2 linked regions of the Stegostoma tigrinum genome follow. Each later gene encodes a partner of the first gene's protein in a complex. Links are inferred from orthologs where the notes say so. Each region holds a gene or a part of one and is shown in the gene's direction. Other genes may lie near its edges.

Evidence for each region.
Region 2: tert (region 1) and dkc1 share a complex: the UniProt entries of both Homo sapiens proteins name them as parts of the telomerase holoenzyme complex. The link is inferred for Stegostoma tigrinum from reciprocal best matches to the Homo sapiens genes TERT and DKC1.

The regions. Positions count from the first base shown.
Region 1 is NC_081355.1:13,889,790-13,897,067, reverse strand, and holds the start of tert (telomerase reverse transcriptase), read left to right. Parts: upstream 1-4,086; 5' UTR 4,087-4,097; coding exon 4,098-4,316; intron 4,317-7,278. UniProt on the Homo sapiens protein: Telomerase is a ribonucleoprotein enzyme essential for the replication of chromosome termini in most eukaryotes. Active in progenitor and cancer cells. Inactive, or very low activity, in normal somatic cells.
Region 2 is NC_081368.1:49,361,882-49,369,202, forward strand, and holds the start of dkc1 (H/ACA ribonucleoprotein complex subunit DKC1), read left to right. Parts: upstream 1-4,046; 5' UTR 4,047-4,135; coding exon 4,136-4,151; intron 4,152-5,355; coding exon 5,356-5,408; intron 5,409-7,321.

The DNA.
Region 1 (7,278 bases):
GACAAGGGAAGCAGATACATGGGAACATAACCACCTGCAGGTTCCCCTCCAAGCCACTCACTATCCTGACTTGGAAATATATTGCTGATCCTTCATGGATAATGGGTCAAAATCTTGGAACTCCCTAGTGACATTGTGGGTCTACCTACAGAACATGGACTCCAGCAGTTGAAAAAGGCAGCTCACCACCACCTTCTCAAGGGCAAGTGGGGATGGGCAATAAATGCTAGCCCCTGGGAAGTGTATTTTTATACATCTTTTGTGGAAAGGTTTTGCAATATTCAGTCCACATCTGAGCACTGTGTCAGCACAACTAATAATAAAGTATTTCTGATTCTTGACCAATAGAAAGACTGCTTGTGGCTTTTCTGCAACAACCCAACTTAGATCCTGATTTAAAAATTCTGCACTCGGGTCATTTTGTTTAGCCAGTCTCCCAGTTTTGGCTTCTGTTTGCTACTAGTGCTAGTTTCGCTGGTGTCTAAATGAACACTGTATCCCCATCACAGCCTCAGTGTATTCTTAAAACTACAGTATATTATTTTGAATAGTTGAAAGATTGAACACCCCAATAATATACACAAATTAAAGCTCTTCATCTTTAAACTAGTGTGCAATACAAATTAATGACATTCCTTATTAATGAGGTGAAATCTGAAACTTTCTTTCACTGCATATTTTGAAAATTTTTTTAACTTGAAAACCAATAAATCCTTGCAGACCTCTTAATATAATATATTAATATTAATGAAAGAAGGCCCTTTGTGACTATGTCTGAATTAATGTTGAGATCAACATGCTGTGGCATTTTTTTTCATTTGTATAGAATATGCATTTGAGAGGAATATTTTAAATATCAACTTTCGGAACCAGATTTATCTGCTTATCTAGGTATTCCATTTTGACAATGTGCATGCTAAAAAAATTTGGAAACATTAAAAAATAAACAATTTGGGACAGCAGGGAAGGATGTACACTGAGTTGGCATGTTAATAATTATGTTATCAAAATTACAGTTCTAGGCCAGGACATTGAACTGATACTAGGAAATTTACTGTTACACTTAATGGATCAGATTAAACAGAATCTGATGTTGCCATGGCCACCTGCAACTAAATTTGCTCATAACTCCTAGGTGGTAATCTATCACCAAAATTTTATTTCCAGAGGGAAAAATTTAAAAAGCAAGTAGTTCGTACAGATCCATTTCTGAATTGCATTCATAGCATAATGAACAGTTCTAGTCTTTTTGCTACAAAATAAGTATGACGTTACTGAGAAGCACATAAATGACTTACAAAAAGGATAACAGAATTTAGAGAATATATCAGGTTGAACATGATGGAGAAAAGAGGAGGCTGAGGAGAGATGGGCATTTAAAATTATAATAGGGATTCATGAGAGTAGTCTGAGAGATTCTATCTGCGAGGCAGACAAAAGTAGTGGCCATAAATGTTACTAATAAATCCATTAGGAAAGTCAAGAAAACTTTCTTCACCTGCAAAGAAAAATAATTTATTTTATAGAGTGTTCTGCCCAGCCACTGAGCACCTCAAAGCACTTTTATCACAAATTACATATTTTTGAAGTTTAGTCATCAATATGTGATATGCAGCAGCCAATTTGCACTCCCAGAAACTGGAAATGACCAGGTGATCTGTTTTTGCGATGTTGATTGAAGGATACATTTTGATTGGAACACTGAGCTAACTTTTTTCTTCAAAATTATGGCAAGCAATCATTTACTTCCACTAGAGCAGGCAGAGAGCCTCGGTTTAACATTTCATAAAAGGATGCAATCTTGCGTATGCAGCACTGCCCCAGTACTGCACTGGTGCGGCAGTCTGATTTTAATTGTGCTGAAAGGCTGGTGTGTAACCTAAATTTGGAACCATTGATTCAGATCAAGAGTGATACAAATGAGCTCCAACTCCCAGTAGTGAGTCATTAATGAAACCAAAGGGAAATTCAGGAGTGTGTTAATATCATGATCATGTTCTGACAGCATTAGACAGATGGGGAGCAGACAGCTTACTGGCACAACCTGTTGAACATTTATTAACTATTTATACTAATGTGCGGAGACATAACAGGTAAATAAATATATGAGAGTGATTAAGGGTAACTCGGTTAGTTTGATCCAAAATTGGCCTATTAGCAGGAGACAGGGTGGGGGTGGTAGAGGTAGGGACAAACCAGTGGCATACCACAGTGATCAGTGCTGGGTCCCTTATTATTTGTGATATATGAAGATGAAAATGTGGGGAAGGAGGGAGAGGATGATAAATGTGCAGATGCCACAAAGATTATTCAGTTAATTGTCAGCAAGGAAGATGGTCTTAGGTTCTGGGAGGATATAGACAGATCGGTAGAACAGTGGCAGATGGAATTTGACCCTGATAAATGTGAGGCGATGCACTTTGGAAGAAGGAATAAGATGAGGGAGTACTCCGAGACTGGCTAGATGCTAGGAAGCTCAGAGGAATCTTGAGCGTGTTTGTCTACAGATCCCTGAAAGTGGCAGGACGTATTAATGGGATTGTTAAGAAGGGATGTGGGACACTTACTGTATCAGTTGAGGCATGGAATATACGAACACAGAGTTTTGAGTTGGAGCTGTACAGAACTTTGATTTGGCCACTGCTGGAGTACTGTGTCAGCACACTATTGGATGGATATGTTTGCACTGGAGGGGTGCAGAGGAGATTCACCGGAACAGAGTCATAGAGGCTTACAGCATGGAAACAGACCATGTCCAACCAGTCCACACCCACCATGTTCCCAAAATAAACTCGTCCCACCTGCCTGGGCTAGGCCCATATCCCTTCAAACATTTCTCATTCATGTTCCTATCTAAATGTCTTTTAATCATTGTAACTGTACTCTCATCCACCACTTCCTCTGGAAGCTCATTCCACACGTGAACCACTCTGTGCAAAAAAGTCACCCCTCATGTCTTATTTAAATCTTTCTCCTCTCACTTTAAAAATATGTGCCCAAGTCTTGAAATCCCGCACCCTAGGGAAACACACCTGCCTTTCACCTTATCTATACCCCTCATGATTTTATAAACTTCTTTAGGGTTACCCCGTGATTTCCTATGCTCCGGTGAAAAATGTCCCAGTCTATCCAGCCTCTCCTTATAATTCAACCCCTCCATTCCCGGAAACATCCTGGTAAACCTTTTCTGTGCCCTCTGCAGCTTAGTAATATCCTTCTTATAACAGGGGGTCCAGAACTGGACACAATATTCCAGAAAACACCCCACCAATGTCCGACACAACCTCAAAATCATATCCCAGCTTCTGTACTCAAAAGTCTGAGCAATGAAGGCAAACATACTCAATGCCCTCTTAAGTTACATGTGATGCAAACTTCAAAGAATTATATTCCTGAACTCCTGGGTGTCTCAGTTGGACAGCACTACACTTTTAATTGTATAACTCCTGGCCTTGTTTGTTTGGTTGCCCGGGATGGAGTGCTTTAGCTGTGAGGAAAGGCTGGATAGGTTCATGGTGTTTACTTTCAAGAAGAAAAAAATTGAGGGAGGGGACAAGATAGAAGTGCATGAGGGTAAAAGGGCATGAACAGGCACCGAAACGTCAGCTTTTGTGCTCCTAAGATGCTGCTTGGCCTGCTGTGTTCATCCGGCTCCACACTTTGTTATCTCGAATAGAAAGCAGTTGTTCACTTTAGGTGAAGTGTCAGTAACAAGGTGGGGTGGGAGCGTGTGTAATTTTGAGTGAAGGCTGGAGGTTTTGAGGGGACTTTCAGGAGGAGAGACTAATCACCCAGAGCGTGATGGTAATGTGGGAGGTTAATTGAAGGGTGTAATCTCACGACCTTTTGGATGAGCATTTGAAACGTCATAACATCGAAGGCAATGGGACGAGTGTAGATTTCAGGTAGCGTTTGGCGGCAGAGACTGGATGGGCCAAGGGGGTCTCCCCTGCACTGTGCTAGTTTCTGGATCCAATGAGAGGATGGGTGGTGGGAGGAGATTGGATGCTGTGGGTCGGGCGGGAGGAAGTGCGAGCAGATTGTGATCGATGAGAAGGGGGTTGGTTGCTGAAGTCTCAGTGAGAAAGGGGTGGACAATGGAGGAGGCCAGGCTGTTCGGGCTGTTGGCCTCCGTCTATCCCTCCGTGCGCCGCCTGCAGCAGTTCGTTGCGGAGATCAGCGAAGCGGCAGGAGTCGCGCCGCCGGCTTTGCTGGAAAGCAGCGACAGCGGGCACTACCGGCGCTTCATCTCCCAGCTCATCGTGTGTGTTCCCGGGGAGGCAAAGGCTGTGTGCCGGCCGCTCACCTTTCAGCAGGTACGGGGCTAGGCAGACAGCTCCCGGCAGCACTAAAGCGCCCGGCACCTTCCGGAGCCGAAGTGCCGTTGCTTTATGTACAGGGGCACATTTGGGGAATAACAAGCCGGAGAGGCTCGGAACGGCGCAAAACCCCCCCGATCCCAGGCCATGTTTCTGCGCTAGGGCTTCCTGAAATTCAGCGCCGGATTTACGCAGCGCGCAATCTTAAGGGTAAAAAGGCATTTCGTATGCACCACGTTCACGTTTTTCTAACACCCTCCCCAAAAGTAAAAGTTGAGTCAAAGGGGGATTTGGCGCGATTAACGTTGACACTATTCCCCCCCATACCCCGTGTCTCTAGGCAGCATGCTGTGAAAACTCACTCAGTTTCCAGCTGTACTCCTCACCACCTCCCCCACTTCTCCACTCCCCCCCCCCCCCCCCCGCCAGGTTAGAGGTGGTCTCGGCTGTTCGGTCCAACCCAGGCTGAGCAGAAATCCCCACCACTTTAAACATTAAGTCAGCAAAAACCTTCCTTTAAAGTCTCCGTTGCAATCTCCATTCTGTATTCACCAACTACACTAAAAAAAAGCAAGGAAGTGCTGGAGAAACTCTGTCGGCCTGTCTTTCTCTCAGTCGCTGAAGTAGGAACGAAGTCACCAAAGCAAAATACTGTAGGTGCTGGAAATGTGAAACAGAAATTGCTGGAGAAACCCAGCCAGTCTGGCACCAGCTGTGGAGAGAGGGAGAGGAAGAACAGTTATTGTTGCAAGTCCAGTTTGACTCTCTGGAATTCAGCCCCACAGTAGCGTTTGACAAGGGACCACCTGCACTCGAAACATTAACCCTGTTTCTCTCTTTGTAGATGCTACCAGATCTGCTGAGTTTCCTTTCTGTTTCTGTAGCTTTACTCCTATCACAGCGACTGTGTGAGGCTATTGCAACCTTGGGTCTATATTTCACCCAAGATGAGCTTTCAGTATTTTTTCATATTCATTCGTGGGATATGGGTGTCGCTGGCTAGGCAGCATTTATTGCCCACGTTGCTGGGGGTCTGAAGTCACATATAGGCTAAACCAGGTAAGGATGGCCTTTTCCTTCCTTAAAGGATATTAGTGAACCAGAAGGGGTTTTTCCCAACAATCGACAATGGATTCATGATATCATTAGATTCTTAATTCCAGATATTCATTGAATTCAAATTCCAACATGTGCCATGGCAGGATTTGAACCCAGGTCCCCCAAATCATTATCTGGGTCTTGGGATTAATAGTCCAGTGATAGTACCACTATGCCTTGCCTCCTTCCCCCCCCCCATCCAGACGTCAGTAAAGCTGGTATTTCCACTTTGCCCATCCCTGCATCTGTCTCAGCTCCTCTTGCTGCCTCTTATCTATGCCATTGTTACACAACCTCCTGACGATTCCACTCCTGCTTCATCTCCCACATCACCTTCAGTGAACTTCAGGTGGTCCAAACCTCCACTGTATCTACTAACATATACCAAGTACCAGTCACACACTACACCTAAGCCATGTGACCTAAATTTGTTTGACATTTCAGGTCAGGACCCTTCTTCAGACCCGAAACATCAAACTTTCCTGCTCCTCTGATGCTGTTTTGTCTGCTGTGTTCATCCAGCTTCACACCATGTTATCTCAGATTCTCTCTCATTGGCAGTTCCTACTATCTCTGACCTAAATTTGTTTTTGATTAAACAATGCCAGCCTTCTGCAGGATGATTGACCAGGTGATGGTGGGGAGGACATGGCCTAGTGGTATTGTTACTGGACTGCTAGTCCAGAGACTCGGCTAATGTTCTGGAGACCTGGGTTTGAATCCTGCCATGACAGATGGTGGAACTTGAATTTGATTTCTAAAAAAAATAGGAATTAAGAGTCTGATGATGACCACGAAGCCATTGTCAATTGTAGGGAAAAACCCATCTGGTTCACTAACAACTTTTAGGGAAGGAAACTTGTCCTTACCTACATGTAACTCTTAGTTGCCCTCTGGACAATTGAGAATGGACAAATGCTGGTCTAGCCAGCAACACCCTCATCCTGTGGATGCATTTAAAGAAGGTGTGTCCTGCTTTTAACAGGTGGTGAGGTTACGCCAGAATTAGCTGGCAATCTCATTTCAGTTCACCACAATGAGAATTACTGCAACTCGGAGATGGCATTCAATATAGATTCAAGATGCCACAGATACATATGAACAAGGAACAGGAGGAATTGAGTTTAAGAGCCTTGATGTTATGCTGCAGCTCTATAAAGCTCTGGTTAGACTACACTTGGAATATTGTGTTCGGTTCTGGTCAGCTCATTATAGGAAAGATGTGGAAGCTTTAGAGAGGGTGCAGAGGAAATTTACCTGGAGGCTGCCTGGACTGGAGGGCAGGTCTTATGAGGAAAGGTTGAGAGAGCTAGGGCTTTTTCCATTGGAGTGAAGAAGGATGAGAGGTGACAGAGGTTTACAAGATGATGAGAGGCATAGATAGAGTGGATAGTCAGAGACTTTTTCCCAGGGCAGAAATGCCTATTACAAGTGGGCATAATTTTAAGTGATTGAAGGAAGGTATAGGGGAGATATCAGGGGCAGGTTCTTCACACAGAGTGGTGGGCGTGGGGAATGTGCTGCTGGTAATGGTAGTGGAGTCAAATACTTTAGAGACTTTTAAGTGACTCTTGGATAGGCACATGGAGGATAGTAAAATGTAGGGTATGCAGGATTGAATGATCTTAGAAGGATAATAGGTCAGCACAAAATCGTGGGCCGAAGGGCCTGTACTGTGCTGTACTGTTCTATTTTCTATGTTAACAAGGCCCCTTGAGCTTGCTCTGTCATTCAGCAAGGTGATGGCCCGATCTGATTTTAACCTCCAGTCCCGTATACCCTAATATTTTTTCATCCCCTTGGTAATCAACAGTCTACCTACATCTGCCTTAAAATTAATTAAAGATTTTCCATCACAGCT
Region 2 (7,321 bases), on another chromosome or scaffold:
GGTATATGTGCCTTGGGAGAGGGTCTTATTGCGCAGCTGTAGAGTGCCTATCTCTGAGCCAGAAGGATTGTCCAAATCCTAACAGCCCTAGACATTTCATATATATGAACATGTTGATTTTAAAAATACTTTTAAACTGGCCTTGGAAGATGGGATAGCTTTAATATGGCTATGAACTGAACAAGGGAATGTGACCTGCTTGTCCTCATAGACCAGTCACAGAAGGTAAACACGCAGAGGCAACCAGCAGTAAAGAAGGCAGATCATATGTTAGCCTTTAGAACAAAAGGTTTTGAGCACAGCAGCAGAGAAGTCTTGCAGCAATTGTACAGGGCCTTGGTGAGACCCCATCAGGAATATTATATGCAGTTTTGGCCTCCCTGTCTGGGGAATATGCTCTTGCTTTAGATGGAGGGCAGTGAAAGCTCACCATATGAATGGCAGGACTAATATGAGGAGAGGTTGAATCAGTTGGATTGTATTTGCTGGAGTTCAGGGGTGATCTCATAGAATCTTAAGATTCTAACAGGACTAAACATAGTAGATGCAGAAAGAATGTTCCTGATGCTTTTGAAGTCCAGAAGCAAGGATCAGAGTCTAAGGATATGGGGTAAACCATTTAGTACTTGGACGAGGAGAAATTTCATCACCCAAAGAGTAAAAAGCCTGTGGAATCTGTTACTGCAGGAAGCTGTTGAGCCCAAAACATTGTACAAGTTTAAAAACGAATTGCATATTGCACTTGGGCATACAGGGAGTGGTGGGGAGAACATACAGTATTGAGTTGAATGATCAGTTATGATCAAAATGAATGATGGAGCAGACTCGAGGGGGCAAATGGGCTATTCTATCTCCTACTTTCTATGTTGAACAAAAAAACAGACCAGTGATCTCTCAGGATTAACCGAGAACAAACAGACCATATACCTGCAGTTTAGAAGAAAGAGTTGCTCCAGAACTAGGTGTCACTGTTTAGAAATTAACTTATTCCCATTTAAAACAGATGAGCCAATTTTTTTTTAAGGAAGTCACGTCTTTTTTAATTACCAGCTCAGGAAGGCAGTGAAAGCAGTGCTGTTAATATTTTTAAAGCAGAGATGATAGATTCTCGTGAAGCAAAAGAGTGAAAGGTTATCATAAATAGAAGGGCATGTGGATTTGAGATGACAATAAGATTAGACATAATCTTATGAAATGGCAGTCAAGATCTGAGTTGAATTGCCTACCCCTTTGTTTGCATGTACCTCGATGTTAAGTTTCTTTAAGAATGTTAAACATTCAATGTACATGTTTGGAGGATGTTTTTACCTCTGGTTGGGGAATTTAGAATGAGGGGCCTTCACGATCTTGTCTTACGGAGCTAACAGTTAGGATGGAGAAATTTCTTCACTCTTTTATGAAGAGTTGTGAATCTTCTGAAATTTTATAAACTCATCATTTCATAGATTGCTGAGGATAAGTTCATTCAACACAGCTGATCGAGATGCAAAGATCAGGTATGCTATTCATGGCTGACTGTGCAGAATAAAGGGGCTGAGTGGATTCCTGTTGCTCCTGTCTAAATTCTAAAATGGTGAAATAAAAACATAAAGAATGGAAAAATGGAATAACAGCTCCTCGTTTGGGGTGGGAGGAAAGGTACTTGAGATACCTGTATGAGACCAGTGGCATAATGGTGAATATTGGTCAGTAATTTATTTGAGGAAATAGAAATTTAAAAATTGAGAAAGGGAAAGGGTTGAGATGAACCTTGTGAACGGGAAGGAGGTAGAAATTGGAGACAAAGTTGTTAATATTGTCCATTTGAGCAAGAGGGGGAAAACAGTGCTGTGTAGCCCCATGGATCCCCAAGGCCCCAAATGTCACTTCAGGATGAAACCTCAAAACATTTTCAATGTGGTATTTTCTAGAGTTCTCAATTTCTTTGCTTCTACGGCCCCTCTGTAATGAAGCACAATCATTTTTCTCTATGTAAAAGCCACTCGGCCATTTCTCTACACAAAACATTTCAACTGAACATGTCTTTCTTTCATACTTTAATGTGAAACTTATGCTGGTGCTGAGTACTAATTCTGTTGAGATGTAGAAGTATCTATTGCAAGTGCATGTCAGGTTAACTTCAGCACAAGTGGACAAAAATGGAGACTCTTGCCAAAGTTGGTAGTTATGCTGAAGATGGTTGGCAGTCACTAAGGTTAATAAATTGTGACTGGAGTTTATAAGAACTTCTAACCTAATTCCTTATTTTCTAGTTAACATTAAAGTCTTTTTAAAATTTAAACTATTAGATTTATTTTTCTACTTGATGAAGGTAATGGTTAACTTTTCAACTCTAAGTTTTTTTTTTGTACCTAAGATGGCTTTACCTCTGGTGACATAATACACTTTTCACAACACACTTTAGTACAGTGAAAAGTCTGTGTGGACTCAGGTAGAGATGACGACCAGAGAAGTCTGAAAGGGAATCTGACTGAGTTGGACAAAATTGAGCATCATTAAATACACAAAACTTCTACATTCGAGAAGAATCAAGAACAACAGTGCATAGATTTCAAGAAAGGGGCAAGAGGTTTAGAGGGATTTAAGGAAGTTTTTTTCAAGCAGAAGCTGTCTGCAACTCAGTCTCTAAGCACATGGCAGCTGCACAAATTACCACAATATTTCAGAAGTATTTTGATGATCACTTTAAAACACCATAGCATACAGAAGTTGAAGGGTTTTGATAACTGGCACAGACATGATTGCTGCAAAATTGAGGCTCATGATGCTGAGACTAATGTTAGCAGCAGAATGAACTCTTTGCTTCTCTTGTCTGTTGTTATCAAGCAGAGTGCAGTTCATGGGCTGAGATTGAATGCTGTTTGGATAGACTGATATACAAGTATATGCGCACACTCTAATTCAAGTGGTGATTTCTGACTCTGTCTTGTGCTAGTTAAGGAAGAATAAAGGTATGGGATGGTGCCTCTGATATAATAATGACATAATCAACCTATTCAGAAATGTTATTACACACTTCCAGAACAGGTGAGACTTGAACCTAGGTTTCCTGGCTCAGTGATAGGGATTCAGCACTACAAGCACCCTTCCTCATATCCCAAATTAGCAATAAATTGATTTAAATTATCTGTAGAGGTAGATCTGGAACCAAATGGGGAGTCCTTAGAAAACTTCTGTCAAGTCTGGACTGCAGAAATAATTTCCCTTCCCCATTCCCTTCTGATCTCTCTGAACTTGGGTATTTAATGAGCCAACCCAAGTTTAAGAAATACCAGTTCAAATATTGAGACACTTTACAACCTTCTTCCCTCTTGAGTTCAGCAGATTGATCATAATGTGTGGCACAATGGCTCAGTGGTCAGCTATGCTGTCTCACAGCACCAGGGACCTGAATTTGATTCCACCTTCGGGTGACTGTGTGGTTTTTCACATTGTCTCTTGTCTGCATGCTTTTCCTCCAGGAGCTCCGGTTTCCTCCCACAGTCCAACGCTGTGCAGATTAGGTGGACTGACCATGCTAAACTGCCCATAGTCTCCACAAATGTGCAGCCTGGGTGAATTAGCTATGGGAAATGTAGGGTAGCGAGGTGAGTCTGGGTGGATGCTCGTCGTAGGGTCGTTGTGGACTCGATGGGCCGTTTGCCCTGCTTCCACTGTTGGAAATTCTACGATTCTATAAATACTGCATGTATTTTATCCAGGAGCATTCGGTGATAATCATGCTAATCCCATTTACGTCTCCGTTAGACTGATCTTGTTTTTATGTCTGATTTCATTTACTATGCACCATCATTCGTCTTCTAATTTCTCCTGCTTCCAGCTGATCACTGACTTTTAATATTCCCCCCCCTTTTCGTAAATGTGTATAGAAACGTGTATACTAACACTTTACCGTTCCGACAATAGGGTCAAAATCCTGCCCTTCCGAATATTTCTATATTTTTAGCGGGTAGCTATATTTCAGATTTTCCACCATTAACAGGCTCTTCTTATAGACTGGGCATGCGCCGTCTTCCATCCTCCGCCATCCCCCCCTTATAATTGACATGCGCGCAGTAGTGCATTGTGGGGCGGGTGTTTAATTGGCTTGCGCGGAGTGGAGCGCGTTTCTTCACTTGGCGATCGGAGCGAGAAGATGGCGGGTGGAGATGGTAAAGGGCATTGTTTGTCCGGGGTGGGGGTAAGGAGTCAGAATTAATACGGCGGCTGCAGAGAACGATCTGTAATTTGCAGACTTGTTTGAGGGGAGAGAGAGAGAGAGAGTGAAGCCGGAGTCACGGCGGCTTCAGGGCATTGCTTACTGCCGGGAGGGAGGTAGAGGCCGCGGCCTGTAGAGGGGAGACGGTTTTCGCGCCCCTTGTAACTCGCAGCAACTCCCTCCCCCACTTTTGGTGTTTGCTTTGAATGTCGGTGGTTTCCTGGTGGCTGGGGGATATCGCCAGCATTGCCCTGGACTCTGGATGGATGGGAACAGGCACCTGGCGCTAATCGGCGCCGAACACGTGGTCCCCACGTTTGGCGCCGGGCCTGGCAGTTCGGTTTGCTGTTTGTCGTCGCCACGAGTTTCCAGCCACAGATTCCATTTCCATTTCACAACTACAAGTACGCGGTTGGCAAGCTGCCTTCTGAGATTAAATGCCGTAGCAGTTAGACAGGCGATTTCAATCATAATGTGCATTATTATCTTACACACGAATTTCATGAGCATCATTTTCTGCCCCGTGATTGAATTCATATTAGCCTTCTATAACGAGTCCAGAATTCACTTAATGTAAACTCTAGCTGGTTAATTAATGTAGACAAACAAGAGGCGGGAAGAACAGAGCAAGCCAGACAGCATCTGGAGGAAAAGAGAGGTCAAGTTTCGGGTATTACCCTCTTGATTGCCTACCTTGGATTACAGCATTTGCAGTTTTTTTTGTCTCTAACTAAGTTTATACCACTGCAAAGTCCCTTCAAAGGATACCCATTTTGAAGATGTTTTCTGCCTCCCTTGGACATGAGTCGTGGAAGAAGGGTATTATCCAGAATGTTGACTTTTCCTTTCCTTCAGATGCTGCCTGGCTTGTTGTGTTCTTCTAGCCTTCTGTTCACCTACCTTGGATTCCTTGGCCAGCAGCATTGATTTTGCTTGTGTACTGAACCTACTGCATTATGTCTGAGGAAACAACCATATGGCAACAGATAGTAACTTGCTTTTGATTGTCTGAAAGTGTTTAAAAAAACTGTTAATAAGTGCATGCGTTTTGGTACGGTGTTTTTACTGTTTGAAATATTCCAATGTGGGAGTACATCCAATGACTTGAATCTTCAGTTTATTGAGGGATTCTAACCATCCCTGTTTGTTGTTTGCAGCATCTATTAAAAAACAGAAGAAGCAAAGGAAGAAAAATGGAGAAGGAATTGGGGTAATAATTTTATTTTCATATCTAGCATTGAGTGCAAAAATGAATTCCTACTACTGTCTGAAATTGTCCAAGAAGTGAAGCAAGGAGCAAAATGTGGGAGCAGCCTTGGAGGTGACATTAATGCAATCTCTGTTGGAAGGGAAATCCATGGGTCTGAAAGCCGATTAAATTCCCTGGATGTGATGGGTAGCAATCTCAGATGTTAAAGGAAGGAGCTACAGAAACGTTGGAGGCACTGGCAGTAAAATTCCAACAGTGCTTAGATTCTGGAAGTGTCCTGGGTGAGATTGGCAGTTTTCCAACATTTCCAGCATAAAAGGAATGGAGACAAAGCCAGATAACTGTAGGTAGTTGGATTAACATATGTAATTGGGAAAAGTTTATTTTAACGTGCGTAGTAGAAACATATTTAGAAATACATACTAAATTCAAATAGAGGCATGCCTGACATTTACTTGAATTCTTTCATGATGCTTAGTGCCCATGGTAGTGAGTAGTACATTAGCATGAATCAAAGATTGCCTAACAAATTGAAGATAGTGTTGAGATAAGGATTTTAAGGATGTCAAACTATAACTATCACAGGGATCAGTGCTGGGACCACCGTTTACAATCTGTTAATGATTTTGATGACACACAAAGGGAGGTGATGGCCTAGTGGCATTATTACTGGACAGGCAATCCAGAGACCCAGATAAAATTCTGGGAGCCGGGTTTAAATCCCACCATGGCAGATGATGGAATTTGAATTCAGTGAAATATCTGGAATTAAGAATCTAATGATGACCACGAATCCATTATCAATAATGTCCTTTAGGGAAGGAAATTGCCATCCTTACCTTGTCTGGTCTACCTGTGACTCCAGAGCAACAGCCATGTGGTTGAGTCTGAACTGCCCTCTGGGCAGTTAGGGATGGCAATTAATGGCAGTCTAACCAACGACACCCTCATCCCATTAATGATGAAAGAAAAAAGGTCTGTAGAGATAAGTTGACATATTAAGTGAGTGCAGAAACTTACCGATATTATACAATGAGGTTGTGCATTTTTGGAAAGAAACATATTGAATATTTTGAAAAGGAGAAATACAGGGAGGGCAGCACTGGGATTTAGGGCCACTCCTGCATTAATCACAAAAACACTTGAATACAAATTCAGCCAGTAATGGGGAAGGAAAATGAAATTGTGGTCTGTCCATCAAAGAGAATGGAGTATAAATGTAGGGAAGTTTGGCGAAACAATGCCAGCGACTGGTTAGACTACACCTAGAATATTGGGCTCAAGTTTGGATGCTGTAATCGGAGGAAAGATGCGTTGGCATTGAAGGCAGTCCAGAAAAAGGTCACTAGATTGGCATTTTGAGTATGGAGACATTTCATAAAGGGGAGAGGTTCAGTCAGCTTGGGGCCTGCACGCACTGGAGTTAGAAGAATAAGAGGTGACTCCTTTGCCAGTAAATGTTTCTTGACAGTTGCTCTCGAGAGGTTGTTTTGTGAGGGTAGTGAATCTGGAATTCTTCACCACAGTGGACTGGGCCATTAAAAATAGTCAAGACAAGGAAAGATACTTTTAGTGAGGGAATCAAGGATTTGAGTAAAGGCAGGACAGCCATAGTCATTCAGCATGGAAACCAATCCTTTGGCGCAACCAGTCTATGCCGAACATAATCCGAAACTAAATAGTCCCACCTGCCTACTCCTGGCCCATATCTCTCCAAACCGTTGCAAACACTTATTGAAATATCTTTTGAACATAGTAATTATGCCCACATCCATCACTTCCTCAGGAAGTTCATTTCACACAGGAATCATTCTCTGTCTTTTTAAAAAAAAAACAAATTGCTGGTTGTCTTTTTTTTAAAATCTCTCTCCTCTCACTTACAAGTGTGCCCCCAGTCTTGAAATTCCCCCTGT